2 linked regions of the Cricetulus griseus genome follow. The protein of the gene in region 2 interacts with the protein of the main gene of each other region in a pairwise test. Links are inferred from orthologs where the notes say so. Each region holds a gene or a part of one and is shown on either strand. Other genes may lie near its edges. The genes, in order: Ncbp1 and Rnf40.

Region 1 (14,758 bases), on a different chromosome or scaffold from region 2:
TAAAGACAATGAGAAAATACAGGCACATAGTCATATCTCTGAACTGTTAACTTCTGTGTTGCTGTGGCTATCCAGCCAAGGTTTATCTGGAGAAAACTGAAAGTACTAGAATGTGAAGAGTCACTCTTCTTACCTGATACTTGAGAGGGTATGAAAGGTACATGTGAGTGCTACCGATCACAGTCTGAACCCATGGACAGTAATAAGACACTGAACTCAGCAGACAGTCCGAGTGAGAGCACAGAAGCAGAATACAGCACCTTTATTAAAAATACTTTGGGGGGGGGGCTGGAGAGATGGCTTGGTGCATAAGAATACTTGCTACTCAAGCATGAAGGGCCAAGTTTGATCCCTAGAATTCACATCAAAAAGCTAACATATGCCTGGTATTGTGGTCTTTAAATCCACCATTAGGGAGCCAGAGGCAGGTGGATCACTGAATTTGAGGCCAGACTGGTCTACCTACAGTTCTAGGACAGCCAGGGCAAATCAGTGAGTCCCTGTGCTGGCTAAATTTATGTAACTATTCACAGGCTAGAGTCATTTAAGAGAAGGGAACCCCAATTGAGAAAATACCTCCATAAAATCTGGCTGTAGGCAAGTCTATAGGGCATTTTCTTAATTAGTGATCATGGGAGAGGGTCCAGCCCATTGTGGATGGTGCCATCCCTGAGCAGCTGAGGCTCAGAACCTAAGGTGAGCCACTGAGGAAGGTGCAGCCTCCACAGCAGTTGAAGGCCCACGATCAAAGGGGTCATGAAGAGTAGCTGAGGCTTGGCACTGTGAAGAGAGCCCCGGAAAGGGCTATTGGTGAAAGAGCAGCCCAGTTGCAGACAAGACCCCAGCATTTTGGAGAGGCCAGTAACATGGTATGACCAAGGACAGTTGCACGGATGGAGTGGAACCTGCCAGAGCTTAAGAGACAAGCTGTGTGTGCTGCAGAGAGTGAAGCAAGAGAAGAGACCCAAGATCCTTGGAGGATCCCAGAAGATCATGAGTGGATCCCAGACATTGGACACAGAGTTATTTATAGGTGGGAGTTTGGATTTGCTTTGTTCAGACTGTGAATGTGCTCTGGTTCTTGCCTCTTGAATAAAAAAGCAACTTATTTTTGAGACTTTAAAAGTTTTAAAATCCAAAGTGTTTGCATTGGTAAAGACTGTTGGGTTCTTACGTTTGTAATATGTTTTATATTTGTGTTATTTATTAATCTGAGATACTGGAGATGAAAAAAAAGGGAAAGGTTATGTCTTAAGTAAAGTATGTCAAACTGACAAGGAGTCAATTGTGCCGGCTAATTTTGTCAACTTGACACAGGTTAGTGATGTCAGAGAAAGGAACCCAATAGGGAATATGTCTCCACAAGACTGGGCTGTAGACAAGCCGGCAGAACATTTTTTAAATTAGTGACTGACAGTGGAGGGACCTGTCCATTACAAGTGGTGCCACCCCTGGGCTGGTTGGTAGTCCTGGGTTTTATAAGAAAGCAGGTTGAGCCAGATATGGTAGAGCACACCTTTAATCCTAACACTTGAATGGGAGAGGGAGATGGATCTCTTGAGTTTGAAATCAGCTTGGTCTCCATAGTGAGTTCCAGGACAGCCAGAGCTATCTAGAGACCCTGCTCCCCTCCGCGCCCCCAAAAAAGCAGGCTGAGCAAACCAGTAAGCAGCACTTCTCCATGGCCTCTGCATCAGCTCCTGCTTCCAGGTTCCTGGCCTAACTTCTCTCAATGATGGACTATTACCTAGAAGTATAAGCTGAAATAAACCCTTTCTTCCCCAAGTTGTTTTGGTCATGGCATTTCATCACAGCAATCGTAATCCTAACTAGAACACCCTGTCTTAAAAAAAAAAGCAAATACAGCCATGCAGGTACCTCCCACTACAATACTATGGGAGGCAGAGACATGAGGATTGTTGGGGTTCGCTGGCCAATCAAAATGTTAAGTCACAGCTTCAGTCTGGTAAGACAGAGGGTGATAGAGGAGGGCACCCAATGGCCTTTACATGGCACACACACCCATGTGCATATATACAACATCCATACTGTTTGGGAAATGGGGGTGGCTCGGTGGGTAAAGTGCCAGAGGTTATCAACCTGTGAGTCCAAACCTCTTCGGGGTTTAACGACCCTTCATAGGGGTCAAATATCAGATATCCTGCATATCAGATATTTATATTACGATTCATAACAGCAGCAAAATTACAGATATGAAGTAGCAACGAAATAATCCTATGGTTGGTGTCACCACATGAGAAGCTATATTAAGGGTTGAAGCTTTAAGGCTGAGAACCACTGCCCTAATAGATAGTTTAGACACTCTTTGGGGAATTGGTTGAACATTTTCATACCCTGAACAATAAAAGAAAAACAAGTCTATGGTGGTACCATAATCCAAAACAGGCTTTAAAACAGGGCTAATGTAAGTTTTTCAATATATGTTAAAGTAACATATTGCTTTATCTTTTCTGCGCTTATCTAGTACAGAAAAGAGACCTTTGTTAACAACCACTCTGAGGGCTCTTAAGACAACAAATAACAGCCTGGAATGGTGGCCCTCGCCTTTAGTCCTGGCACTCTGGAGGCAGAGGCAGGCAGATCTCTCTTGAGTTTGAAGCCAGTTTGGTCTATGCAGCTAGTTCCAGACAGCCAGGGCTATACAGGGAAACCGGGTGGTGGTGGTGGTGGAACAAACAACAGAACAAAACAAAAAAATCCCACAGACACCAAATCATTTTCTCACTGCAAGATGAACCTAATATTACAAGGACACATTGTACTATTTCCTATACCCTTATGAGAATAAGATGTGTAATTTGGATCCACAATGTAGACAAAAAAACAACACCATGAAAGAAAAAATAAAACTCAGCCAAGAAAAGTAATATACTTTGACTACAGATTTAAAACAAAAATCTAAATTGATTAAAAATATCTGAAACAGGCTGGGTGGTGGTGGTGCACGCCTTTAGTCCCAGCACTCGGGAAGCAGAGATAGATGGATCTCTGTGAGTTCCAGACCAGCCTGGTCTACAAAAGCTAGTTCCAGTACAGCCTCCAAAACTACACAGGGAAAAACCCTGTCTCAAAAAACAAAACAAAACAACAAAAACAAAACAAAACAAAAGAAAAACAAAAACAAAAAAATCTGAAACAAAGTATACTATCCTTCAGCATAACAAACCTTCCACTTCTCTTCAAGTTTTCTTTCTATAGTTAAGTTTAAAAACATCAGTCACTGTCTAAAAGATAAAGACCTAGATTAAATAGGCTTTCTGGACTTCTGACGAAGAAGTCCTTTTAACCATAAAAATAGTATACTTAACACTGATAAAATACATATCCAACAGTAAATGAAGAGGTTCAGAGACATTATCTATCACTACCAGACACGGTGGCCCACACCTTGGGGGGAAGGTAGGTACACCCGACCTGGTCTATATAGCCAGACCACAGTAGTTACAGCCTGGACTACATAGTTCCAGACAGCCAGGACAGCCACATAGAGACCTTGTCTCAAAAAACAACAAAAGTGTTTAAGACTGAACTACATTTGGTACTTTCCATTTAGGATAGTCCTTTCTGTTTCTCTAAATAAACTACAGGAACTTTACTGATTGATTAGCTATCTACTACTACCTCTATGAATCCCCAGTAAGATATAGTCCTAACAGAAATGTTTAAAATGGCCCAGTAAGTTAAGAGCCTCATCTAAACTCTCTGGTCTTTCTTTGTTGATTTTTCGAGACAAGGTTTCTCTGTAGCTTTGGAGCCTGCCCTGGAACTCACTCTGTAGACCAGGCTGGCCTTGAACTCACAGAGATCCATCTGCCTCTGCCTCTCAAGTGCTGGGATTAAAGGCATGCACCACTACCTGGCTAAACTCTCTGGTTTTATCTCTCATAACTTCTAACCCTATTTTCTCTATTCTACCAACAATGATCTTCTTACTGTTCTCTGAACATGTCAGAAATGCTCTAATCTTAAGAAAGAAAGAAAAAGAAAGCTTAACATTATACTCATGGTTTCCTTTCAACCTCTGTTTTCTCAAACATCCATATGGCTTGTTCCTTACATCACTCAAGTCACAGGACATCTGCAGGGAGGCCTTACCCTTCTCTCTCACTTTGGTCCCTGTACCCTTTAATTCACTTTATTCTCCACAATCCTGTGATCATATGATAAACTACACTACACTGGGTTTTGTATTGATATATGGAAGGGAGCCTCCACTGTTATACTGTCTGCTACTGTACTGCAAGTAGTTAGGAAATTCTTAGCAAGTCCTGATTATATTGTATAGTTGTCCTTGGTATCCATGAGACTCCAACTCAGACACCAAAACTTGAGGATGTCAAAAGTGGTGCTGATAGGCCGAGTGGTGGTGGCACACGCCTTTAATCCCAGCACTCGTGAGGCAGAGGCAGGCGGATCTCTGTGAGTTCGAGGCCAGCCTGGTCTCTAGAGCAAGTGCCAGGATAGGCTCCATAGCTACACAGAGAAACCCAGTCTCGAAAAACCAAACCAAACCAAACCAAACCAAACCAAACCAAACCAAACCAAACCAAACCAAAAAAACAAAAGTGGTGCTGGTATTTTCTCATGATTTATGTATGCTGTGACACTGTATCATTTAGGGAATAACATGGGGGAAAGTACACATGTTTGGTACTGAGGGCTTTTCCTTTGAAATGACCAGACTGCCAGATTCAAGAGAGAGAATGAAGATGCAGAAGGCCAGGGCTACCCAGCCCAGTATAAGGAAAGTCAGAGTAGAGCTGACAATAACCCAGAAATCCTCAGATCTGTTTAACTTTGATTTCTTTAAAATCTCTAACCACCTTTAAAAACAGCCACCCAGCTGGGCGTTGGTGGCTCACACTGTTAATCTCATCACACCCAGCTGGGCGTTGGTGGCTCACACTGTTAATCTCATCACTCGGGAGGCAGAGGCAGGCAGATCTCTGTGAGTTCGAGGACAGCCTGGTCTACAGAGAAAGTTCCAGGACAACCTCCAAAGCAATACAGAGAAACTCTGTCTCAAAATAAAACAAAAAAGAATACATAGATGTAAAATAAATATGCTTCCTTTCCTCCTTTTAGCTGGGTGGTGGTGGCGCACGCCTTTAATCCCAGCACTCGTGAGGCAGAGGCAGGCGGATCTCTGTGAGTTCGAGGCCAGCCTGGTCTCTAGAGCAAGTGCCAGGATAGGCTCCAAAGCTACACAGAGAAACCCAGTCTCGAAAAACCAAACCAAACCAAACCAAACCAAACCAAACCAAAAAAACAAAAGTGGTGCTGGTATTTTCTCATGATTTATGTATGCTGTGACACTGTATCATTTAGGGAATAACATGGGGGAAAGTACACATGTTTGGTACTGAGGGCTTTTCCTTTGAAATGACCAGACTGCCAGATTCAAGAGAGAGAATGAAGATGCAGAAGGCCAGGGCTACCCAGCCCAGTATAAGGAAAGTCAGAGTAGAGCTGACAATAACCCAGAAATCCTCAGATCTGTTTAACTTTGATATCTTTAAAATCTCTAGCCACCTTTAAAAACAGCCACCCAGCTGGGCGTTGGTGGCTCACACTGTTAATCTCATCACACCCAGCTGGGCGTTGGTGGCTCACACTGTTAATCTCATCACTCGGGAGGCAGAGGCAGGCAGATCTCTGTGAGTTCGAGGACAGCCTGGTCTACAGAGAGAGTTCCAGGATAACCTCCAAAGCAATACAGAGAAACTCTGTCTCAAAACAAAACACAAAAGAATACATAGATGTAAAATAAATATGCTTCCTTTCCTCCTTTTAGCTGGGTGGTGGTGGCGCACGCCTTTAATCCCAGCACTCGGGAGGCAGAGGCAGGCGGATCTCTGTGATTTTGAAACCAGCCTGGACTACAAGAGCTAGTTCCAGGACACCCTCCAAAGCCACAGAGAAACTCTGTCCGGAAAAACCAAAATAAATAAATAAATAAATAAATAAATAAATAATTGTAGATACTTCACTAAAAGGCATCACATTTTTTATTTAGATCACTGAACTCTATTAAACTTTAATAATGTATATTTCTATATGTGTACTATTGGAGGAGCTGTAAACAGCCTTTCTACTACTCAATGATTTGCTACACTGAATTTTGATTGAGTAAAGCTTAATTTTACATCATTTTGTCCTATTTATTCTAAGGTTTCTGTAGTCAGACCCAACTGGGAAAATGATTCAGCTGCTAGCTGGGGTAAAAAAGCCAACTACACCCAAAAACTTACGAAAGCCTCCTAAACCAAAACAAGAGGTTTTCTATATATTTATACTCTAATTCTCCAGTTGGCTCTCCAGTAACATTTCCCCCTCACTTTAGGGGTACCCTGGAAGTGAGGGAAAGAATGGAAAGAAGTCCAAGATGAGCAAAGAGAATCAGAAGAAGAAGAGATAAAGGCCAAGGACAAATTCTCTAATCCAAAGCAGATTAGTACGCTAATCAAATACAAAGCAGAGAAAAAATTACTTCCTGTGTTCTGTATATGCAATTCACAAGAAACCACGATGTTAAAAACAACAAGCTGGGTGTTGGTGTCTCTGAGACATTAAAAGTTGATAAACATCATGAACTAATCTTGAGCACAGTATCACATTTAACCCTCATAAAAACCAAAAGTCTTAATAGTACTCCACATTATACACTCAGGTATATACACTTAGGAAATCATGTGACCCTGACACAATAAATAGCAGATGTCTAGCTTTGAACATAAACCCTTAGGTTCTAAAAGTCTTTCTTGTTTTAACCATTCACACTCAATCGTAATTCAATATAATATCAAGAGCTCCAAGTTTTACTCTCCTATGTGCCTGAGTCCTTGAAGGACAGTAATGGTGCAGCATTGAGCTTGTTTTTTTTGTTTGTTTGTTTGTTTTTTTATGATGGCAACACAACAACCTCATTGCTGGCGACTATCAAACCGACATGAGAACTACTAGACTGTTCAGGTTAGTTTGCCTGCATTTTCTTATACAGAGGAACAGGCTTAAAGCCAATCCTACGGAACAGCAAGTGTTTATTAGTGACTCTGGGGTGATGGTAAGACGCAAAATTCTTTCCCTGAAGCTTAAAAGTAGGAAATCAATGGGTGGCTGGTAGAAGAGTAGGGCTCAGATTGCAATTCATCCGTCCCCTGCCATAGCTTTGTTCTTTTCCTGTCTTCCCAGGGTCCTTTCCAGGTGCACCCTGGAGGGATAACATGAAAACACTGGTCCACTAGATAACCGTCACTGATCCTAAGGGGCAAGATCAGACACTCGTGCATTTCCACGCTCAGGAATGAGTGATCAAGTCTTAAGTGTCGGCGGAGACCAGGTCGGGTTTGCCCACGGGGCTCACCAGGCCTTCCTTCCCCATGACTGAAGGAGTTGGGGGCAGCGGGGCCGCTGTCGCTTTCCTGAAGCTACTAGCCACACCCGAGCCGCTCCAGCCGCTTTTTCCCGGGCTCCCAGAACCCTCCCGGGGAGAAAGGGCTGCCTATCCGTTCCCTAGAGACCCGAGGACCAAAGCAGCCCGGCCCCCGTTCTCACGCCGGGGCCGCGGCCACGCCGGGGGCACTTACCATCGTTCTCGTAGCTGTGCCGCCTCCGCGACATGCTGCTCGCGGGTGCGCAGCCGAGTTGAGCAGCGAGTCTCCTGCAACACCAGAACCGTCGGACTGCCGGCCGGCCGGTGCGCGGTCAGCGGCGAGGCGCGCGGACTGGCCGGCGCGCAGGCGCACTCGCACACGACGCCTGCCGGAAGCGCCAGCGGAGAAGCACCGGGTGGGCTCCGCGGCGAAAGGCCGGCGTCTGCAGGTCCGCACACAGGCGCCTCCTCCCGCCTTCTACTCTAGGGCCTTCCAGATGGCGAGCTAAATAGTCCCGGCCCCGGAGATCCCGCCTCAGCTTTGCACTGGGAACTCGCGGTGTTTTCCCGGCGGCCCCTGCGCCGACGGCTTTGGAGACTTCCGGAGCGAGGTGACGTCCTAGGGACTTTCTGCGCACGCGCGCGCCGGGGGGCGTGGGCTCGAGGGCGGGGAGCGGCGCCAAGTTGGTGAAGGGAGACCCAGGAAAGGCCTAGGACCGGCGGGTATGTGTTCTCACCCTCGCCGCCCGGCCGTAGGTGCCTCGGGAGACCTGGGGTGGTAGGGAGGGCACCCCCCAGCGGTGGGGAAGTCAAGCCCGCACGGCCCAGCCTGCTCATGGTTCTCTTGCCGCCTACCTCTCCCAGCTGACGGATGAGGAGGCAGCGGATAATTGATCGATTTGGTTCCAATTGTTCTTCTGTCCCTTTGCACGTGTGCAGTATGTGGACGCCCTCTGCCCTGATGTCTTTGATGGACACCAAACTGCCTTGTCTATGGTCTGGCCGAAACTCTTCGTTCAGTCTTACCGGTTTCAGTAAAAGGCCGTTTCTGTCGCTTGCTTAATCCATGAATTTAGGGAGGAGTCATTAGATCCTTCACAGACACTGCCCGCTGTACTTTGAGAGCAAGTCCATTAATGAAACCTACTACCATGTTTAAAACTCTTCACGGACTTTAAAAATATGACTGTTTTATGTGTTTGTGCCCGACTGTGCAGCAGCCCATGGAGGCCAGAAGAGGGCATCAGATCCCCGGGAACTGGAGTTTCATACATTTGTGAGCTTCCATGTGGGTGCAGGGCGGTTGTGTGGGGCCAGAATCATGCGTGGGTCCTGTGCAAGAGCAGTAAGTGCTCTTAACCACTGAGCCATCTTTCCGGCCCTTTCTTCTTGTTAGAGAATATCTTTCATCTGTTCTTTTTATCTATCCATCCATCTTGATCATATGCCCTCCAACTCTCCTAGAATTTCCATTGCAAACTCCAAACTATGACTTCTTAGATTCTGTCCCCATCGCTGTGTGTGAACCACTATGTTCTTCTGATAAGTTCAGCTTGTTTACATTTTAGGAATCAAGCCTTAACTGTTTCCTTTGCCTGATGATCTCTGCTCTGAAATCTACACGGCTGACCATCAGGTGCCTACAGAATTATTTCTGTGACGCTTTTTGTTTTGTTTTGTTTTGTTTTTGTTTTTTTGAGACAGGGTTTCTCTGTGTAGCTTTGGAATCTATCCTGGCACTCGCTCTGGAGACCAGGCTGGCCTCGAACTCACAGAGATCCTCCTGCCTCTGCCTCCTGGGTGCTGGGATTAAAGGCGTGTGCCACCAACGCCCGGCATTTCTGTGACTCTTAAACTCTTGCTTTATTTCATTCAGCAAGCACTATATTGTATTAGTTAACATTTGTTGCTTTCTGTACAGTGTTCAGGATACTGAAGCTGCAGGTGAGCAAAAGGAAGCCTCTGCTCTTTTGGAGCTGAAGTCCTGAAGGACCCCTTCAGAAATGACCACAGCCATTGTGGTCTGACCTAATAGCAAAGGAAGAGTGGTACAAGTTGGGATTAGAGGCAGGGACAGATTATCTGAGTAGGTTCAGACTTTGGAAAAGTCTTCCAAGAAGGTAGTTAAGCATCAGTAATTCAGGCAAGAAATGCTGGAGCCTTGCACTGGGGAATTCGGTTCAGAGTGGACTGCTGACTTTAAAAGGAAGGCAAAGCTTAGGGTCTGGTATGGTGGCATGGTGTTCTAGAAGTAGAGGTAAGGGGAATCTCAAATTCAAAATTACTAGGGGTTCAGGGCCAGCCTGTACTATGCAGCAAGACTCAGTCTCAGAAAAATGAATTTTAAAAAATAGAGGTTGTCAAGATGGCTCAGCAGGTAAGCACCTGATTCACAAGCCTGTGGACATGATTTTGATCAGTGGACCCTGTGAAATGTGGAAGGAGAGAACTGACTCCTGAAAGTTGTCCCCTTTCCTCCAGGTCCATATCCTGGCAGGAGTCTAGGCATAAGTAGACACAAAGTAAATAAAATGTAACTAAAAGGAAAACAGTTCATTAGTTATAGTTGTATCTATTTTGGTGAGATTTGGCCACAGTAGCAATTTTGAAATTTTGGCTCTGAGATTTGAGAACAAAAGAAACAAAGCCATAGTATCACTTGCGTTGGTTGATTTGGGATGTATATAGTGCTTTCCTTCTATTATCCACCTAGCATTTTTAACATGGCTTGCTTCCTAATTCATGTTTCTTTGAAAAATGGTATCTCAGAAAGGTTTTTCCTACCCCTTTGTGTATAAAGAGCCCTTTCACCTGCCTCCTTCCTCTGCTAATTTTTCTTTAAAATATTAAATTTAAAAAATCAGTTTATTGGCGTATCTTTCCCACTCGATTGTAAAATAGACTTTTTCCTGTTGCATTTACTGCTCTATTCCCAGTGTGTAGAAGGGTATTTGGCCAAGCATAGTTGTCACATAAATACTATTAAGTGAGCTATGAATGGATAGCTTGGGTTATGTGGCCACTGCTAATTTGCACGATTGATTTGCTTCCACAAGTACCTAAAAGTTGAGCATTGCATTTTCTCTCTTACGTCTCAGAAGATACTTGAAAGGAAGATACTGAAAGAAATCTGCCCCACTGATCAATCCAGATGCCTTCTTCCACTTTACCAGATGAAGGAGATAGCCTGGAGACCTGCGTTTTAAAGTTTTCTGATCTGGATTTAAAAGAATCAAATCTTACTAACCCCAGCAACAGTCTCAAAGCAGAGTTAGATGGCAATATAAAGAAGAAATACTCATTTGCAAAAAAAAAGGTAAATTGCTGTCGGTGATTTCATGATCGTGTATGTGTATATATATATAGTTAGTTAGTTAGTTAGTTAGTAAATATATATATATAGATAGTAAAGTACATATAGAAATAGATTATTGTTTAGTCTAGTCTCTAGCAGCATGTAGTCTTGGAATGTAGTTATGGTGGAATGTTTTAGGATTCCAGGTCCTGGTCAAGAAGGATGAATTTCTTTCCTTACTCAGGTGTAGAAGAATCCTAGGAGCTCAGAACCGTAGTATAAGGAGGACTGACAGGTAATAGGTCAGCTGGCTTCTAGTGAGGCTGTTACTGAGCCTGTTGCTGGTGGGGAAAAAGCTTGGTCTCATCTAGGTAGCTCAGTGCTTTGAAGAAAGAACAGAGCATCGCAGGATGCTGCAGCTGCTGAGAACACTGTGCCTGCACTATAAAGAAGTGGGGGTGATGCCCTTCATCAGTGCCATGTATTTTGTTGTTGAAACCATTGGCTGACTAAGGAGGGGTAGCTGAGACCTAGTTTTCTCACCTTCAGCCTGTGGTCCTCTTAGGGAGCCTCTTTTTGACTCTATGTCAGTGTGGAATAAATATCTCTGTAATTTCCCTGCTGCACCTTCAGTCAGTCCCATACAGATTTTCTTGAAAATGAAATTCAGAGGTTACAAAGGTCCTTTACCAGTATTATTTTGCAATAATTTCAGACTTACAGAAGAGTGAGAACTTTATAAATGATACACATACTGGCCTTGTCCAGAGATTCCATTCACATTCACCACTTGTCTCAAATGCAGGAGGCTCCCCTGGTTACACAGAAACTGAGCCAGTTACAGTGCTCACTCCCTTGGTTTGGTTGCCACACCTTAGTCCTTCCTTTTTGACTATGTAACCAATGCTGACCTTGAACTCATACCTACCTTCCAAGTAGTCCGAGTGCTAGGGTTACAGGCATGTACCACCATGTCCAACTTGGTCTTTAAACTAGAACACTAGAATTTTTCTCTCAAGTTATAGCTATCACACTCTTGAAAATTACAAATAAGTTGTTTTGTAGATGGACCCTCATTTTGGTTTTGACTGATATTTCCTTCTATGAGATTCAGAGTTTGCTTCTTTAGGAAGACTATCCTGGAAGAAATGCCATGTTCATGTTAACACATTGTTTCAGGTGCCCCACGTGCTGATGTTCCTGTTACAGATCCTTTCATTTTGGATATTGGTGGAAATTGTCTGCTAGGTTTCCTCACTGTAAGGTTTCCCCTTTTCCCATTTAGTTCATCAGTGGTTGGGAAGGAAATAGCAGTGCCATCTTCTTTTCTTCTTGCTTGTCATGAGGGATCAACTAAAGGAAACACTAAAAAGGCCCTAGAATGTCATTTCAGACTACTTGTGCCCCGCCCTGCATACTCCAGAGCCAGTCTAGCATAAATTGAGGAAGGTTCATCAGTGATGCAATTCACCTCTAACACCACCCCACAATCCATGTAGAGCTGGAGGGAGAGGATTGACTCTATAGAGGTGTTCTCTGACATTCAAGTGTGCACCATGCCATGTGCCCCTCTCCCCAATTATAATACAAAGTTTAAAATTTTTAAAAAGGAAAACAGACAATACATATAAACTAACAAATCAGAAAATGTAGGAAAAAATTTAGTCTTAGTACTAAAAAAAATATACAAATAAAAATGAAGTATTTATATTGCCTTTGGTGGGGGGAGCAATATTTAAAATATTGACAATAAAAACTAAATGCCAATAAGACTTAGGCCTTTCACCTGCTTTGTAGTTGAGAGCATACATTGACATGCATGTATAGTTTCACACTTGATGCTTTTTTTGGCTTTTTTTTTTTTTTTTTTGAGACAGGGTTTCTCTATGTAGCTTTGGAGCCTATCCAGCCTTGGGAGACCAGGCTGGCCTCGAACTCACAGAGATCCACCTGCCTCTGCCTCCCGAGTGCTAGAATTAAAGGCGTGCGCCACCAACACCCGGCTAGGTATCTATGGCAGACTCAAGTCATCTTATAGAAGACTTTATATATAGGTAATAATTATGTAATAACTATGTAATAGGAACTTTAATAGATAACCACAAACTAGTACTATAGTAATACAATTATAAATAACTATTTAATATATTAAATGATATAAGTTTCATAGGGAAAAGTTAGAGAAGTTTAAAGAAATTTTAGCTTGTTCTCTCACCAGAAAAAGTCCTTGTCAATAGGTGAGATTTGAAAATGTGAAGAATGGCAAACCGTACAGACACTGGAGGGAGGAAAATCCAGTGCAAAGTCTGAAGGTATTACAGATGCCTGCATGCTAGGTTTGAGCCAAAGCCAAGAAGTGGAAATGGGATGGGATAGGAACAGTGGAAGGAACTAGGTTATGGGGACTTCCTAGAGGATAGGAGGAGAGCCTTTGGGGAATTTTGAGCAGTGGAATGATATCTGTTCTAGTTTTTTGTTTGTTTGTTTTGGTTTTTGGTTTTTGGTTTTTCAAGACAGGGTTTCTCTGTGTATCTTTGGAGCCTATCCTGACACTTGCTCTGGAGACCAGGCTGGCCTCAAACTCACAGAGATCCGCCTGCCTCTGCCTCCCAAGTGCTGGGATTAAAGGAGTGTGCCACCAATGCCCGCCTGTTCTAGGTTTTTGTTCGTATTTTTTGTTTGTTTGTTGTTGTTTCAAGACAATGTTTCTCTGTGTAACCCTGGCTATCCTAGAACTTGCTCTGTAGACCAGGCTGGCCTTGAACTCAGAGATCCACATGTCACATGCCTGGCTTGATCTAGATTTTAAAAGAAACATTTCAGTTGAATGGAAAACAAATGGTGATGAGTATGGAAAAGAGGAGGCTAAGAAACTATTATAACAATCCAGGGAAGAGTGATGGTGGCTTGGATCTATGGAGTGGTAGCCAAGGGAGAAATGGTTAGCTTTGTGTGTATTTGGAAGTAGAGTTGCTGGATTGGATATAGGATGTGAAAGAAGAGACTTGAAAATGTTTATTTATTTATGTATTTATTTATTTTTGGAGGCAGTCTCACTTTGCAGCCTTGGCTGGCCTGGAACTCAGGCTGGCCTTGAACTCACAGAGATCCTTTTGCTTCTTCTGGGACTTAGGTGTGCACCACCTTTTGCTTTTGTTACATATGTGTTGATACCTTTGCTCTGTGTTCTTCCTCATTAGTCTTGTAGAAATTCCTAATGTATTCATTGTGGTGGCAGAGGCTCCAGGAACAATTGGCCTCACACCTGTAGTGGATGGAGCACATTAGGAGTTTGGACTTGGGAAATGGGAGATGAGGCATCTTTAGTAACACAGAGGTTGCAAGAACCCAGGCTGATGTCACCTCTGCAGGCCTCAGCACATTTCCAAAGTTCCCACTCCAGTAAAGCTGAAGAGTGAGCAAGCACAGAGGAGCACATATGGGAGGTTTTTATGGACCAGAAGTGGCGTTGTGGCGTGTCACTTCTATTGGGAAACAGTTGTACAGCCTTAATCCAAAGGCTAGGAAACAGTTTCCCAGGAAGAAAGGAAAATGGATTTTGATGATTGAGTAGTAAGAGGTTGTTACTTCAGAACAGTCTTGCCAGTTTCCTGGGGGGTACTTGTCTGATTTGAGCTGTAGTTGCCTTAAATGTGTGTTTGAAGAATGGGCATCTTTTCAGTTAGATAAGATTTTGGTAAGTTACAAAAGAAGAGTATTTCCAGACAGTAAGCTGAGCAGAAGCTAGGCTGGGAGGGCAGGGGTGTTCGAGTAACATTAAGGAACAGTGAATAAATGGGTACATTTGAATAAGATTGTAAAAGAAATAGTAAACGATGATCCTGGAAGCAGGATAGGGAAACACTTGGGAGTCATTGTGTCTCTGTTCTGTACTAGACAAGGACATGATTCTATTATGCTGCTTAACATTTATGAAATTCTTTGATTTACTTTTCCAAGTAGAAATTTGGCACCTACAGGCTGTATTATTTCCTCACATTTGTTTTCAAAGGTAAATAGTAGAACCAAACATGAAAATAGAAAATTTTATGTCCAGAAAGTAGAGAAAT
Region 2 (14,702 bases):
GAAAGTGGCAGATTAACAAGATGGCTGCTGGGAACTCCCAAGAAAATAGTATGTACCCAGACCATCAAAATGTCACACACTAAAGGCACTTAACCAGCAACCACAAGCAAGAAGGGAATCTCACCTGCTTAGTGGCACCCAATTTGCGTTGCAGGTGTTCTATCTGCTCCTCTGCCTGCCGGATTCGTCTCAGGGCATCCTCATCTGCAATCTTCTTGCTTTCTCTTCGATCTCTTTCCTCCAGTTCTCGGATGCGGCCCCGAAGCTCATCCACCTGCATTCATGGGAGGGAAGCTCTCAAACATTGGTCCGTCCGCACAGCGACACCACTACTAGCTTGCTTTGCATAGTGACAGAATTCAAAAAGCAGCAAACTTGCTGACCCCAAGGCTCTGAAGTCCCTGGGCGAGACTGTGCATGCCCCGCCCCTGGCCCTTACCTCAGCCTTGGCCTTCCGTTCAGCTGCCATCAGCTGCACCTTATCCCGCTGTTCCTTGGGTGCAGACTTGTACATGTCCAGCAGCAGCTTCATCTCCTTCTGACTCTCCTGGGCCTTCCTAGAGAAGGGTACAGAAGGGGATCTTAGTAAGAAGAACTGAAAGCTACTTGACAGGGGAGGAGACAGCAATAGGGCCTCACTTGAGCTCTGCTCGAAGACCCTTGAGCAGTTCTGACTCTTTCCTCTTTGCTTCCTCAACCTTGGCCTTTTCTCGATCAGCCCTTGAGAGAGCTGAGGCTACAGGTGGGGGCCCCAGGACAGGCCCTTCCCGTTCCCGAAGTTCTCGCTTGGGTCTGGCCTCAGGTTCTCGGCCTCGAGAGGGCAAGCCCTGGTTTCCAGGGGTTAGGGCCAGGGCATCATCTTCAGAGGAGACCAGCTCCTCCTTCTTTACTGAAGAAGCAGCAGGGGTGGCTCCAGGCACTGCAGCTATCTCCTTTTTGCTGTCAGGAGTACCTCCAGGGCCTGGCCCACCATCTTCTTTCCCTGGGGCTAGGGCATTGAGGCCAGAGTCATCTGGGTGGCTCAGGCTGGGGATGCAGTGGGAAGAGCCACTGGCCTGGGCCCGGAGCTGTACAGACAGAGAAAAATAGGAATGAGGTGAGCCACTGCCCACTAAGATCTAGCGAAGGCTTTCCCCAGGCAGCTCCCTCTCCTTACTTTGCCAATCTCAGCCTGTACTTCTCGAAGTTTCCGCTTATATCGCTGGGCATCCCCTTTTAGCTGGTGATTATGATTCTGGAGACTGCTAATCAGATGGCGCATCTCACGGTTGATAGGCCCTGAGAAAAAGTCAGAAAGTGGGTATGTAGGACGATCTCCTCCTAACTCTCCAACTCCCCAGAAGGGAAAGAAGCCAAGCAGAGCCCATACTCCCATTGTACAGAAAGGGAAATTCTGCCACTCACGTGGCAGCTCACAGTTCCAGGTGATCTGGTGCCTTCTGGCCTCTGTGAGCACCAGGCACACATGCAATGAGGTGCACAGACACATGCACGAAAGCGAAATACTTATACACATAAGCATTAGGCTTTAATCCTGTTATGTGTGTTTTACTTACATGTATGTCTGTGCACAATGTATGTGTACTGTAGTGCCCCCAGAGGCCAGAAAAGGACTTCGGACTGCTGAGAATTGTGGGTATTGGGATAAAATCTGAGTCCTCTGGAAGGGCAGTCAGTGTTCTTCCCCACCCCAACCTTCCCTGACTTCAACTCCCAGAGACAGGGTTTCTCTGTGTAGCCCTGGCTACCTTGGAACTCAGTCTGTAGACCAGGTAGGCCTCAAACTCAGATATCTGCCTCCCAAAAGCTGGGATTAAAGCTGTGCGCCACTACCGCCTGGCTGTAGTCAATGTTCTTTAACTACTGAGATATCTTTTCAGCTGCGGAAGGGATGGGGGTGGGGAGGAACAATACCTTTTTTTAAAAGATTCATTTTTATTTCATGTGTTTTGCCTATACACCCTACCTGGCCTGGAACTTACTTTGTAGACCAGGTTGGCCTTAAACTCAGAGACATCCACTGCCTCTGCCATCTGAGCGCTGGGATTAAAGGCTGTACAAGCATCTTGATGTGTCCCTGCTTCACCTCTACAGGAATCTTCCATGGTTTTTCTTTTATTGTCGTCTATCACCCTAGAGTTTACTAGAGTCACTCCACAACAGCAGAGATTCTTCATTTATTGGCAGAACCCCAAAACCTAGCATTGAGTGTGGCTCACAGGGAGTACTCAATAAATCTTTGTGAGACAAATCTCTCAGAGGTTAGACCAGCTCACAGTCTGGTGACACCTGCTCAACTTCCCATCCCAGCTGCTATGACACTGGGAGTGACACAGGTAGTGAGTGTAGTGCCTGTTTTCTGTGGCCAATGGAGACTCGGAGAAAAGCTCCTCATTAAATCTAGATAAGCAGCCGCAAGGTTCCAGCACCCTTCTAGGCTTATCTCTACCCAATCCCACCACGTACCAGCCTGCTCGTTGGCCGCAAGGTTCTGTTCAAACTCAATGCGCAGCATCTCATACTCCTTTCGTACCTGGGCCAGGGTATCCTCCAACTGGATCACTTCTGTGCGCAGTTTCTTCTGCAGCCCCAATTCATCACTCTGTGGGTCGAGGCATTTAAAGACACAACCGTATGAGAATCCTACCCCCATACTAATGAAAAGACCTAATTTTTGCTTACAAAGAAATAAAGCTGGCAGACGGAGGTGGCACATGCCTTTAATCCCAAAACTTGGGAGGCACAAGCTGAATTCAAGGCCAACCTGGTCTACAAGGTGAGTTCCAGGACAGCCAGAGATACACAGAGAAACCTTGTCTCAAAAAGAAAAAAGAAAGAAATAAAGCTAGCACTGGTCACTTAATCTTCTATCTCTCCAGAAAAAAAGGACTCCAGTAATCGAACGTAAGATAGATAAATACACCAAGCATCATGGTGTATGCCTTTAATCCCAGCACTCAGGAAGCAAGGGCTTGTGGATGACTTACACTGGAGGCCAACCTGGTCTATATAGTGAGTCCCAGGCTACCCAAGCCTACATTCTGACACCTTGATAGAGAGATGGCTCAGCAGTTAAGAACACTGGTTGCTCTTCCAAAGGACCTGTGTTTGATTTCCAACCCATATAACTGCTCACAACCCTCTGTATCTCTAGTCCCAGGGGATGCAACACCCTCTTCTGGTCTCTGTAGGCACTAGGCAAACTGTGCTGCACATGCATATATACAAGCAAAACACTTATTTATTTATTTGTTTATTTATTTTTGGGTTTTTTGAGACAGGGTTTCTCTGTGTAGCTTTGGAGCCTATCCTGGCACTCGATCTGTAGACCAGGCTGGCCTCGAACTCACAGAGATCTGCCTGCCTCTGCCTCCTGAGTGCTGGGATTAAAGGCGTGTGCTACCAACGCCCTCAAGCAAAACACTTATATCTAAAAATAAAATTTAAAAAGGAGGCAGCAGCACTGGGGAGATCACTCAGTTGTTAAGAGCACTGGCTGCTCTTACAGAGGACCCAGGCTCAATTCCCAGGACCCACATGGTGATTTAACCGTCTGTAACTCCAGTTCCAGGGGATCTCATGCTCTTTTTGGGCCTCAGGGGCACACAAGTGGTACACAGATGAACAAACAGGCAAATACCCACATGCATGAAAACTTTAAATAATACATACATACATATATAACATCATTAGTTTTTTTTTTTTTGGTTTAGTCTTTTTATTGTTTTTTAAATAAGAACTAATACATGTAGAACTAATACAAGTCCTAAAATATTTGGCACTAATATTTCTTTTTGGAAATCCAGCTCAGTTTCTTTTAATGTTAATATGATTAAAAATTAACAGGAATAAACTAAAATTTATTTCCATTGCCATATAAAGTTGCTGTTTTGCTACCTGGAAAATGCGCAGTAGAAACTGGCCTCTGAAGGCTTTCCTTGTGTTTTCAATGCTTCTCTTAGAGAAAATATTAAAATTGGCTGGAAACAAATAATTGTAAAATGCCATTACCAGGAAATGCCTGAGTCATTCTTAACTCTGTGACTTCTGGAGGGAGAGGTGCTGAAGGGGTTTAGAAGGAGCTCTTTCTATGGGTGTGGTCTGCATCCAATTAATACCCAAGCAGAAAACGGTTTCCAGCACGGACACTGCTCTAATGCACACTACTTGCTACCAGAACAACCAGCTGCGTTTTTTTTTTTTTTTTGGGGGGGAGGGGTGGTGGTTCAAGACAGGGTTTCTCTGTGTAGCTTCGTAAACCAGGATGGCCTTGAACTCAGAGATCCACCTGCCTCTACCTCCCCAGTGCTGGGATTAAAGGCGTGCGCCACCACTGCCTGACCACCAGCTCCTTTCTATAGTCATTAAACCAGTTTGTATCTTAATGGGCTTGTTTTCTACTCTGGTACTTTACATCTGATTATTAAAGAAACAGTAACTCAGCTGGATGGTGGTGCATGCCTTTAAATCTGGCATGGTGGAGGGAGGGCAGGGCAGGTGGATCTCTGTGAGTTCAAGGCCAGCCTGGTCTATAGAGCGAGTTCCAGGCTATTCAGGGCTACACAGAGAAACTCTGTATTGAAAAAAATAAAATAAAAAAATAAAAAGAAGAAGAAAAAGTAACTCTTTGGCAGCAATGGATCAAGTCCCATTTCATCTCACCGTGCTTGTGATTTTAGTGTTCTCTTAGCCCAGGTCTTACAGATAAACCATTTATGGTGGTTATAATGATACTTTTAAAATAATAGAGTTAATGATTAAAATTGGAAGAAAAACACATCCCAGTCTTACCTCTGGCCACGGAAGAATCTATGCCCAAAGGACTCTTAGCAGGTACACAAGGACCCATGGAAGCTCAGGAATGTCAACTCTAAAGGTCTAGTTTTCACCCCCAGCCCCAACTCATTCCAAGACCATACCTCCATATGCTCAATGTGTCTCAAGTGGGAGTTCTTGGAGGCCAGCAGCAGCCCCCGGGCCTCATCTAGTTGGGTCTTCACTTGCAAAGACTCATTGTAGAGCAGTGAAAACTGGGCCTGTAGCATGCGGTATTCCCCGGTCTCACGAACTACCTCCTCAGGAAGGCTCCGCAGGGCCACCTGGGTGAAGATGTCCAAAAGGGTCTTATTAGCACCAGGATCTGAGGCTTAGTGGAGGCCCTTTCAGCTCAACCAGAGCCTACCTTGAGACGCTCGTTGGTCCGAACAGCCCCCTGAAGCTCAGCCTGAAGCTTCTCTAGTTCTGCCATGCGGCTATTGGCCAATTCCTGGTTTTCTTCCAGCTCTGCATTCAACATCTCAAACTAAGGAGTGGAAGGGGCTGTGGTAGGCAAGACCAGGATGGGCAGTGTGCTCCCCTAAGAGTCCTCCATCCAGTCCTCCCAAGCTCCCCCTGCAAGAGCACTGACAGAAAACTCCAAACCAAGGGTTTTCCTTTGGCTCTCAGGAAATGGGAGAAAAATCAGTCCTGCATGGGAATATCTTCCTTGTACTTTTTCTTTATTCTACTAATTACCAACTTATGTAGTGCTTATTACTTGTATGTCCTCCGAATAGAACCTAACTTCCATAGAAGCTTTATTGGAACAGTTGGGAGTTTATTGACAATTTGATTTGAAGCTGTATGGTGGTTCAAAGCCTATAATCTCAGCACTTGGGACACAAAAGTAGAAGAATCAGTCACCCTCAGCTACACAGCAAGTTTAAGGCCAACTTGGCCTATGTCATGAGACCCTGCCTCAAAACAAAGAAAACATAAAAGGATTGCAAAAACAGACTCAAGTACAACATTAAGGAGAGAGAGAGGTGCTCAAGATAAAGTCAACTAAAGCTCCGGTTTTCATTCATCCTCATTAATCTGCCTAGTTCCTGGCACTTAAGTTCTGGAATTATTTAGTAAGTATATAAATGAATGAAAGGAGAAGGCGCAACACTGTCAGCTACAGACTCAGATACAGATGGTTGCCCTGCAATGAAGGACCCGAGGGAACTGCTGCTCACCTTCTGCATGCTAAGTGTGATCTGGCCTCCCTGGAAGCCCGAGGAACTGCCAGACACATAGTAGCCAGAGTTGAGCTGCAGAGAAAACAGACACAATGGATGTGAAGGGCAGAAGGTAGGGCCCCAGGTACTCAACTGGGCTCCATCCACTCCTGTACCTGCTCCAAGGCCTCTGCCAAGTGCTTATTGAGCTTCTGTTCTCGCTTGCGAAGCTTCTCAATGTCCCACTGTAGGTCCTCCACTGTCGTCTCCATCTCCAGGACCTTGGTCTCTGTTGATGTCACTTTATCTTGGAGCTCAGAGTACTGCAGGCAATGGAAAGTGGCTTGGCTTCCTAAGATCCTTAGATGGCAAACCCAAACCCTGCTCCAGTTCTAACTGCATCCAAGAATCTGATTCCCACCTCCAGTGAGATGCGGTGGTGCTTCTCTTGTAGCTGAGTGGCCAAGTCCTGTAGTCGACGGTTCTCTCTGCCCAGCTCCCGGGTGCGTACCCGTGCTACCTCCCCAGGGGCCTCACTGTCCCCTAGGAATGCAGAGCCCAGATGAGAGTCAAGCCCTGGGTAACCAAGCAAGCATTAACTAATCCTGAAGTTTACATGCTGAGTGTGTGAACTAGCTGTCTCACCAATTGCTTATGACAAACCCAGGAGATGAAGCTAGCTCAGACAAGGAACCATTTATCCAAACAGCTGATACTAGGTAGGGAGAACTAAGGATGGGAGAAAGAAGGCTGTTGCCACAAAAAGCCTGGGTACTTGCCTCTCAGTTTAGTGGGACAATAGCTGCCTCTAAGGTTTGCACAGTGTCCCAGAGAGCCCTCTCACTGCAGGGGTGTGACCCTACCAGGACCAACAGTTCCTCCAGCCAGCCATCCCTCTGGAGTCCCATTTCAGAAATCAAAGCTGAGATCTCATCTTGAACTAAGTTGTTCCAACAAGAATGAGGCTGACTATTCACTGGGAACTCTGACATCCAAGAATTACTGAGATTGGGAGGGGGACTCCTAAGGATGCAGGTGGGGATGGACTTCTCTAGAGGGTCTAGAGAACTAACCTCGGCTGTATACTCGCTGACAGAGTTCTTCCACCTGACGCTGTAGGCGGTCCGAGGCCTCCACCACCCGAGACACAGCAGCCTTGGAGAATTCCATCCGTCCCTGCAGCTGCAGCTCCACTTCCTCACTGCTGCTGGCACCCAGTGCCACCACAAAAGCCAATGCTGGCTCACTGAGAGGGGTTCGAAACTGCATTGGCAGGGGTTCTGGAAGGGACAGATAACCCCCATAGGAATAAAGGCAGCAATGACCATCAAACTGTACCAAGTTCCACAATGAGTGCTTTAATCTCAATGGCTAACCTAATTAATACAACCTGGAGAGTACTCTTGTCCCTTCTTGACAGGGAGACTCCTAAAATTTAAATAAGTAATTTTCTTTTCTGAATGGGGTCTTATTATATAGCCCTGGCCTCACCCAAACACACTGAGATCCAGCTGCCTTGGGGGCCCCAGTGCTGAGATAAAAGACTTGCACTACCATGCCTGACAACAGTTTTATTTCCTCCTTTTTTTTTCCTTCACGCTGTAGACCAGGCTGGCCTCGAACTCAGAGATCCACCTGCCTCTAACTCCTGAGTGCTGGGATTAAAGGCGTGCACCGCCGCCGCCGCCGCCGCCGCCACCACCACCACCACCACCTGGCAAGTTAATTTTCTTAAGGATCAGCGACATCACATCTTCAGAAGGCTCCTCTGCCCTCTCAATCTAAAGTAGAACCCAGCCTCCTGCCGTATTTGTTCCTTTATAACAATGCCAATTACTTTTTACTTACTATGGTTTATAGTTTCCTTTATGGCAACAATATATTTCTTCTTGCTTACCTCTGATCCCTCTATGTCTAGCATAATTCCAAAATTGAGTACTCATTTTGTTTTCTTTTTTACTTTTATATCTGTGATGTGTTTAAGAATGCCAAAGATGGGCTAGAGAGATGGCTCAGAGGTTAAGAGCACTGGCTGTTTTTCCAGAGGTCCTGAGTTCAATTCTCAGCAACCACATGGTGGCTCACAACCATCTGTAATGAGATCTGGTGCCTTTTCTGGTGTGCAAGCATACATACAGGCAGAACACTATATACATAATAAATAAATAAATCTTAAAAAAAAAAAAAGAATGCCAAAGACTAGTATCCAGTTTGGTTTTGTTTTTTAATAACAGAGGCCTGGTTTTGGTGGCGCTCGCCTTTAATCCCAGCACTCAGGAGGCAGAGGCAGGAGGATCTCTGAGTTTGAGGCCAGCCTGTCTAAAGATCGAATTCCAGGACAGCCAGGGTGACATAGACCCTCCCTCGAAAAAAAAGCATAAATAAATAAATAATAAATAAATGAAACAATAGAAATCCACCTGCTTCTACTTCCAGAATGCTGGGATTATGAAAACTCAGTTTGATTCCAAAATTTTGTTCTTGCTCACCATTTAATTGTGTTTTTTAAATTGCCTTTGAGACAGTCTCTCTGTGTAGCTGTGTAGCCATGGCTGGCCTTGAACTCCAGAAGAGAGCCACCAGCTTCTGCCTCCTAAGTGCTGGGATTAAAGGTGTGCACCACTACATCGGGTATGAAATCAACTTTTAAACAGCTGTGTGGGAGGGTGCATTTCAGCAGCCCAACACCAAAGCCACCTCAAGACTTTTTTCAGAAATTAAGGTCCCCAGGGCTCTTGTCCTACCCCTCAGATCTGAGGTCCCTGGGTCTGTCCGAGGGATCCCATCACGAGTGAGCCCCTCCTGGCACCCAGGTGCCTCAGTTCCCGAGGACAGCTCCCTCTGGCGCTCATGACATCGGAGAAGGGCTTCCACAGTCTCATCCAGCTAAAAGAAGAAAGAACCAAAGAGGTTATGAAAGCCTCGGTGCCTTCCCAGCAGGGCGATCTTCGGGCATTCACCTGGGCCCAGTAGCGGTTGACGATGAGGAGCGTGGCGTCGTCGGTGGCCTGCCTCTTTTCCAGTTTCTCAATTCTCTCCCGCAGCTCGTCCTCACAAGCTTGCCGCTGCTCCAGCCGCTCGGCCAGCTTCTTGTTCTTGAACTGCAGTACCTTGGAATCCATCTCCTCCTACCAGGGGGGAAGAGGCAGAGAAGTGTCAGGCAGGGACTGGAACCATCCCAGGGACAGGGGAGGACAACTAGATTGAAAGCGGAGAGGCATACTAAGGATAGCAACCAGTGAAATTTAAAAAGACTCAGACACAGACAGAGAAAATATCTTGGTCGTGAGAGCTTCATATTCTGTTTCTACTTCTTTTCTAACTAAAGTTTTTGACTGATCGCACGACTTACGAGAAGAAATTTATGTGTGAGTAGAAGGAGAGAAGGACTCCACAAAGTTGTCCTCTGATCACACGCGCGCCGTGGCACGCCCACGGCACGCCCACCGCACCCACCCCACCCGACTCGCACCCCCGTTTTGCGTATATACACACGTGCACACACGAGATTCTGAGCGCTTTGGGCTGAGGTCAAGCAGGAGTTTAGCAAAAGCCCACCCACCGTGGAAGAGATGCCCCCGAGACGAATGGGCTCTATCAGAGTGGTCGTGGTCTTCTCCTCGCGGTTCAGCTTCTTCTCTGGGGGTCCTGAGCCCCCGTCGCCGGCGGCGCGCTTGTTGCTGAGGCCAGACATAGCGGCGGTGGCTGCTGGGCAGCTCGGGGCTCTCCCGGGCCGGCGGGCGGCGAGCGGGCGGGCGGGCGGGCGGAGGCGGCACTTCCGTCACCTGCAGAAAACCGAGGGCAGACTACGGACGCGTCCGGGGCTCCGCAGCCCCGAGCGTCCCAGGGGACACACCTGCCGGACCCCGCCCCCGCTGGCCCAGGGTCCGCACCCACGGTAGGGTCAGCCGAGCGCCACCATCTTGGACTTCACCGGACGTCACCGGCCGCCAGACGCACAGCGCAGGCGTCAGAGCAGCTCCGGATGTGGCGAAACTTATTTCCTGTTTCTATTGGTGGCTCTAGGTTCCGCCTCTTGAGTCCTTGAGTTTTTTTCGCGATCGACTGTGTATCTCTCAGTGATTGGCCAGTAGGCCGTTCCCATAGTTACTGAGCCCGCAGTTGCACTTTGCAGTATAGGAATACAGAGGCCGATCTGCTGTTGGAGCCTTTCCTGCTGCTATTCAGGAAACCCGGTTCACGATCGCCTGCAACTTCAGACTCAGGTGGTACGTGCTCTCTTCTGGCCTCCGTGGACTCCCGCGAACGTGCTTGCGCGCGCGCGCGTACACACACGCACACACACACACACACACACACACACACACACACACACACACACACACACACACACACACACACACACACACAGAGTTTCTTTTTAATTAAATCTTTAAAAAGAGGGACCCCCAATAAGCAACTTTGAAGAGGCACGTGCAACTTGTTACGCATGCGCTCTAACTTCTCAATGATTGGCGAGTGCTTGTACTTTCTACTTTGCTTAACAACGGTCACCGGGGAGACTGGACTGGGAAGACGCCCCCTGCGGATTGGCTGCCACCGGCTTCACCGCTTGTGAGAACCACTAGAAGGGGCAGGTCCGGGCATTGCGGTGACAGAGCTGGGCGTCCCAGAGCCTGGGCGAGAGAGCACTTGACTGTGCCTCAGAAGAGCGAAGATGATCAGCCCCAAATCCAGCCAGGTCCTGGGAGTTAAGATGCAGTCGGAATTTGAACAGCTTCCCCAACTGGAGCAGGATCTTGAGAGTTGTGCCAGGTCGGAAGGTGGATCGGTAATAAGGACAGAAACAGACGTGCAGACCGAGTCCACCGCCGAGGCCTCCACCTCTGTGGGAGTGGCTGAAGATCCTGGAGCCAACTTGTTCCCGGTGAGAGCCGGACAGAGCTGTCCACTAATGAATATTTATAAAAGATTTCCCCGCAAGGCACTGACAGTCATTACTTTTGCTAGCATCCGAGGCATTTCTGGAGTTGCCATGTTAATAGGCTAGTAAAACCCGGCCTCGCCCCCTTTATTTTTTTTGCGGGGGGGTTCGAGACAGGGTTTCTGTGTGGCTTTGGAGGCTGTCCTGGAACTAGCTCTTGTAGACCAGGCTGGTCTCGAACTCACAGAGATCCTTCTGCCTCTGCCTCTCAAGTGCTGGGATTAAAGGCGTGTGCCACCAACGCCAGGCTCGATCCCTTTATTATACATAAAATTATAGCATTCTGAGACCCGCTAGACATTCACGACGGACCAGGGACTAGGCTCTACATATTGTAATAGCTCTTCTTGCCGTGATCTGTTTTCTCTCCACAGCCACCGCTACCCCAGCCCCGGATCTGTATGTGGTGAGTGTGGAGAGCCCTGGGGAAAAATTACACTTCTCATTTGTATTATTCCTTTAAGGTCTCCCCAACAGTCTTGTCCAGCAGCCAGGGCACCCCAATTTTACAGATGAAGAGACTGAGCTGAGAGATGCTCAAGGTGACCAAGTCACCAGTGTTCCAGGCTCAGTCCAAAGTGGCAGTGTGAGAAAACAGACAAGTACCAAGCATGTAAGCATGATGGAACACTGTGCAGATTGATGCCAAGGCCCTGGGGGACTTCACCATGGTCACACACAACAAGACAAGAACTCAAGGTTTCTAATCATTGGATTTATAAATAAAATGTCTCCTAAGGGTCTAGATCAAGAGTCTAGATCCTAGACCATGAATTTCCTCATTTATAGTGGGAGGCCCAAAAAATGACTTTCCAAAGGGTGCTTAGTAAGTTAGACTAGCCTCAACTCCTGATTCCCAATCCAATGCCCTAGAAGTCACAGTCCCATCAAGGAAGTTATATGAGCTATCAACGATTTGTCTCATCTTTTCCTGACAGGAAATACCTGGACATCCATTCTATGCACAGACTGGAGAAGGCAGTCACTGTGGAAGAGATGAGAGAGTATGGTCTGAGTTGGGACAGACAGAGTTCTCGGGAGGGGAGCCATGAGGGATGGCAGGCTAAAGCATAGATTGTCAGGTGATGGAGATGAGAGGAGGCTTGTGGTTAAGAGCATTGGCTGCTCTTCCAAAGGACCCAAGTTTGGTTCCCAGCTCCCACATGGTCTGTAACTCCAGTTCCCAAGGACCCAACACCCTCTTCTAGCCTCCCTGGGCACCAGAGAAACACGTGGTAGACAAACACACATGCAGGCAAAATACCCACACCGGTATAATAAAAATAAATCCTAAGGTGAGGGTGAGGGGGGGGAGCTCCTGTTGTCACTCATTCCTTCCTCTCCCTCCCAAGGGTTCTGGCTGAGCTCTTGGAACTTGGCTGTCCTGAGCAGAGCCTACGGGATGCCATTATCTTGGACCTCTTTTCCCATGCACTCATCTTCTGCCGCCAGCAGGGCTTTTCACTAGAGCAGACATCAGCAGCTTGTGCCTTGCTCCAAGATCTTCACAAGGCCTGTGTTGGTGAGAGGGAGGCTGCCACCAAAAGCTTTGAGCCCCAGGAGAGGAGGCTGGGCTAGGACAAGTGACTGTGGGAAGCAGAAATAGGGAGACTACAATCTGGGATTTTTGTTCCACCATTAACTAGTATTATTGTACCACATTTTATCACCTTTGAGATGTTTCTTTATCAAAAAAGGAAACACATGTAATGATGTTATGGGAAATATATAAATAGGGGGCTGGGGATGTAGCCCAGTTAGAGTGCTTCCCTAGCATGTGCAAAACCCTGAGCTCAGTTCCAGCACTGTATGAATCAGTGGGGTGGCACACACCTATAATCTTAGCACTTAGGAAGTAGAGGCAGGAGAATCAGAAGTTCAAGGTCATCCTCAATTACAAGGCCATCCTGGGCAAAAGCAGACTCTGTCTCACAAACAAAGTAGCTTCCTGGTGTCAAGTATGGGGGGCTCAAGCCTGAAAACCCAGTGCTCAGGAGGCTGAGGCAGGAGCAATGCCATTAGTATGAAGCCAACTTGAGTTACACATTGAGTTTCAGACTAGCCTAAACTACTAAATGAAACACTGTCCCAGAAATAAAACCAAACCAGAGGGAAGGACCTTGCCTGTCTTGTTCAGTGCCTAGAAACGTATATAATGAGAACTTAGTATTTGTTGAGTGAATTGACAGAACAAGCCAGGCCTTACTCCTAGATCTGTCCACTTCTGAATTCCATGCTCTACAAGGAGTGGGGTCAAAGGATGAGAGGAGAGTAGGAGGGACCTGACTGCTTCACCTTGTCTTCTTCCAGCTACCCCTTTGGGCAATGTGGAGGAATGCTACCGCTACTTTACCAGCGTTCTCTTTTGCCATGGAGTCAGGGTAAGATCTAGCCCAAATTCCTGTTCTCTCCCACTACTCTCCTCCTCTTCCTCTGAAGGCCCCCTGGGGTCTGCCTGCTTCTAGATACCATGCTTTTGGAGGAAGAGCTAGGTAGACTTCTGGAGGCTGCCAGGGCACTTAACTTATAATTGCCATCACAGCGGCCCCCTTTTAGCATCGATCTCTTTAAAGAGGAACAGCTGCTGGCATTGGCAGACTATGTGATCAACACCTACTTCCGCCACTTCAAGCTCTACAAATACGTCTTCACACCCCAGGTACTGTGTACAGGAAGTGAATGGCCACCTGTCTCCCCTTCTCTTATGGGCAGTGCTATTCTCTCAGCCTCCTCTTCCCGTGTCTCCCCAGGTTCGGCTGGACCTATCTTTGACTTACATAGGGCTACAGCCACCCAAGCCCTGGCCAGAAGGTAAGATGGGTACAGATGGGACAGGCTAGGACTGGGCAGTGCAGGGACTAAGGCCTCTTCCTGCTTCTGGCATGCAGAGAAAGAAGGCGAGGTGTTGGCAGAACAAGCAGCTACTCCACAGGAGGAAGAACCAGAAACTGTGACCCAGCCAGAGCAACAGCCAAGTGAGTACTCTGAGGGGTTAAGGTGCCCTGGGACTCTGTGCTAAGGTCAAATTTGGGTTTGGGTCTATTTGAATCTTCATTCCCCTACCCCCACAATTTGGTTTTGTAATACTGGGGAATGAAATTACAGCCATTTGCATAAGCATTTACCACTAAACTGTATATTCTCAGCCCACCCCCTTTGTTTGAGACAGTGTCTATTTAGTCCTGCCTGTTCTGGAACTTGCTATGTAGACTATGCTGGACTCAAACTCCTAGAGATCCTCCTGCCTCTGCCTCTTCACTGCTGAGCCATCTCTCCAGTTTTGTTTTATTAGAGAGACACAGAATGAGAATGTGTGTGTGGCAGATCAGAGGACTTTGGGAGTCCGTTCTCATTCCATCTTTATGTGGGTTCCTCGGATTGAACTCAGGTTGTCAGGTTTGCATAGCAAGCTCTTTACCGCTGAACCATCCCTCCTGCCCTTGTTTTAATTTTATTTTTTATTTTTTGAAACAAGGTCTTGCTGTGCAGCCCAGGCTGGCTTTGAACTCAAGATCCCCCTGTCTAACCTCCTGAGTGATGGGGTTGTACAGGTGCTCCACCATACCAAGCTCATGACTTAAGTTTTAGTTCTGCTGTCCCCTAAAATTTCTTTTGAGATTTATTTTTTATTTTATGTGTTTTAGAATTTTGCTTACCTGTATATCTGTGTACTACACGTGTGTAGTACTCGAGGTCAGAAGAGGTCTGAATGCCCTTGGAACTGGAGTTACAGATGGTTATGAGCTGCCATGTGGGTGCTGACAGATTCTCTGGAA

What was found.
Region 1: the proteins of Rnf40 (region 2) and Ncbp1 interact in binary tests that used the Homo sapiens proteins (3 or more experiments, as listed by UniProt). The two-hybrid records come from large-scale screens. The link is inferred for Cricetulus griseus from reciprocal best matches to the Homo sapiens genes RNF40 and NCBP1.

What each region holds. Positions count from the first base shown.
Region 1 is NC_048595.1:97,284,243-97,299,000, forward strand, and holds the start of Ncbp1 (nuclear cap-binding protein subunit 1), read right to left. Parts: upstream 7,868-14,758; 5' UTR 7,642-7,867; coding exon 7,608-7,641; intron 1-7,607. Other genes in the region: Tstd2 (thiosulfate sulfurtransferase/rhodanese-like domain-containing protein 2), read left to right, coding at 10,545-10,709. UniProt on the Homo sapiens protein: Component of the cap-binding complex (CBC), which binds cotranscriptionally to the 5'-cap of pre-mRNAs and is involved in various processes such as pre-mRNA splicing, translation regulation, nonsense-mediated mRNA decay, RNA-mediated gene silencing (RNAi) by microRNAs (miRNAs) and mRNA export.
Region 2 is NC_048596.1:73,159,579-73,174,280, forward strand, and holds the start of Rnf40 (E3 ubiquitin-protein ligase BRE1B), read right to left. Parts: upstream 9,897-14,702; 5' UTR 9,676-9,896; coding exon 9,544-9,675; intron 9,110-9,543; coding exon 8,942-9,109; intron 8,868-8,941; coding exon 8,726-8,867; intron 7,262-8,725; coding exon 7,055-7,261; intron 6,525-7,054; coding exon 6,403-6,524; intron 6,305-6,402; coding exon 6,158-6,304; intron 6,075-6,157; coding exon 6,000-6,074; intron 5,303-5,999; coding exon 5,183-5,302; intron 5,100-5,182; coding exon 4,920-5,099; intron 2,603-4,919; coding exon 2,467-2,602; intron 1,279-2,466; coding exon 1,157-1,278; intron 1,068-1,156; coding exon 640-1,067; intron 558-639; coding exon 440-557; intron 275-439; coding exon 125-274; intron 1-124. Other genes in the region: Ccdc189 (coiled-coil domain-containing protein 189), read left to right, coding at 10,660-10,869, 11,301-11,332, 11,865-11,930, 12,279-12,448, 13,237-13,307, 13,469-13,585, 13,677-13,737, 13,815-13,901.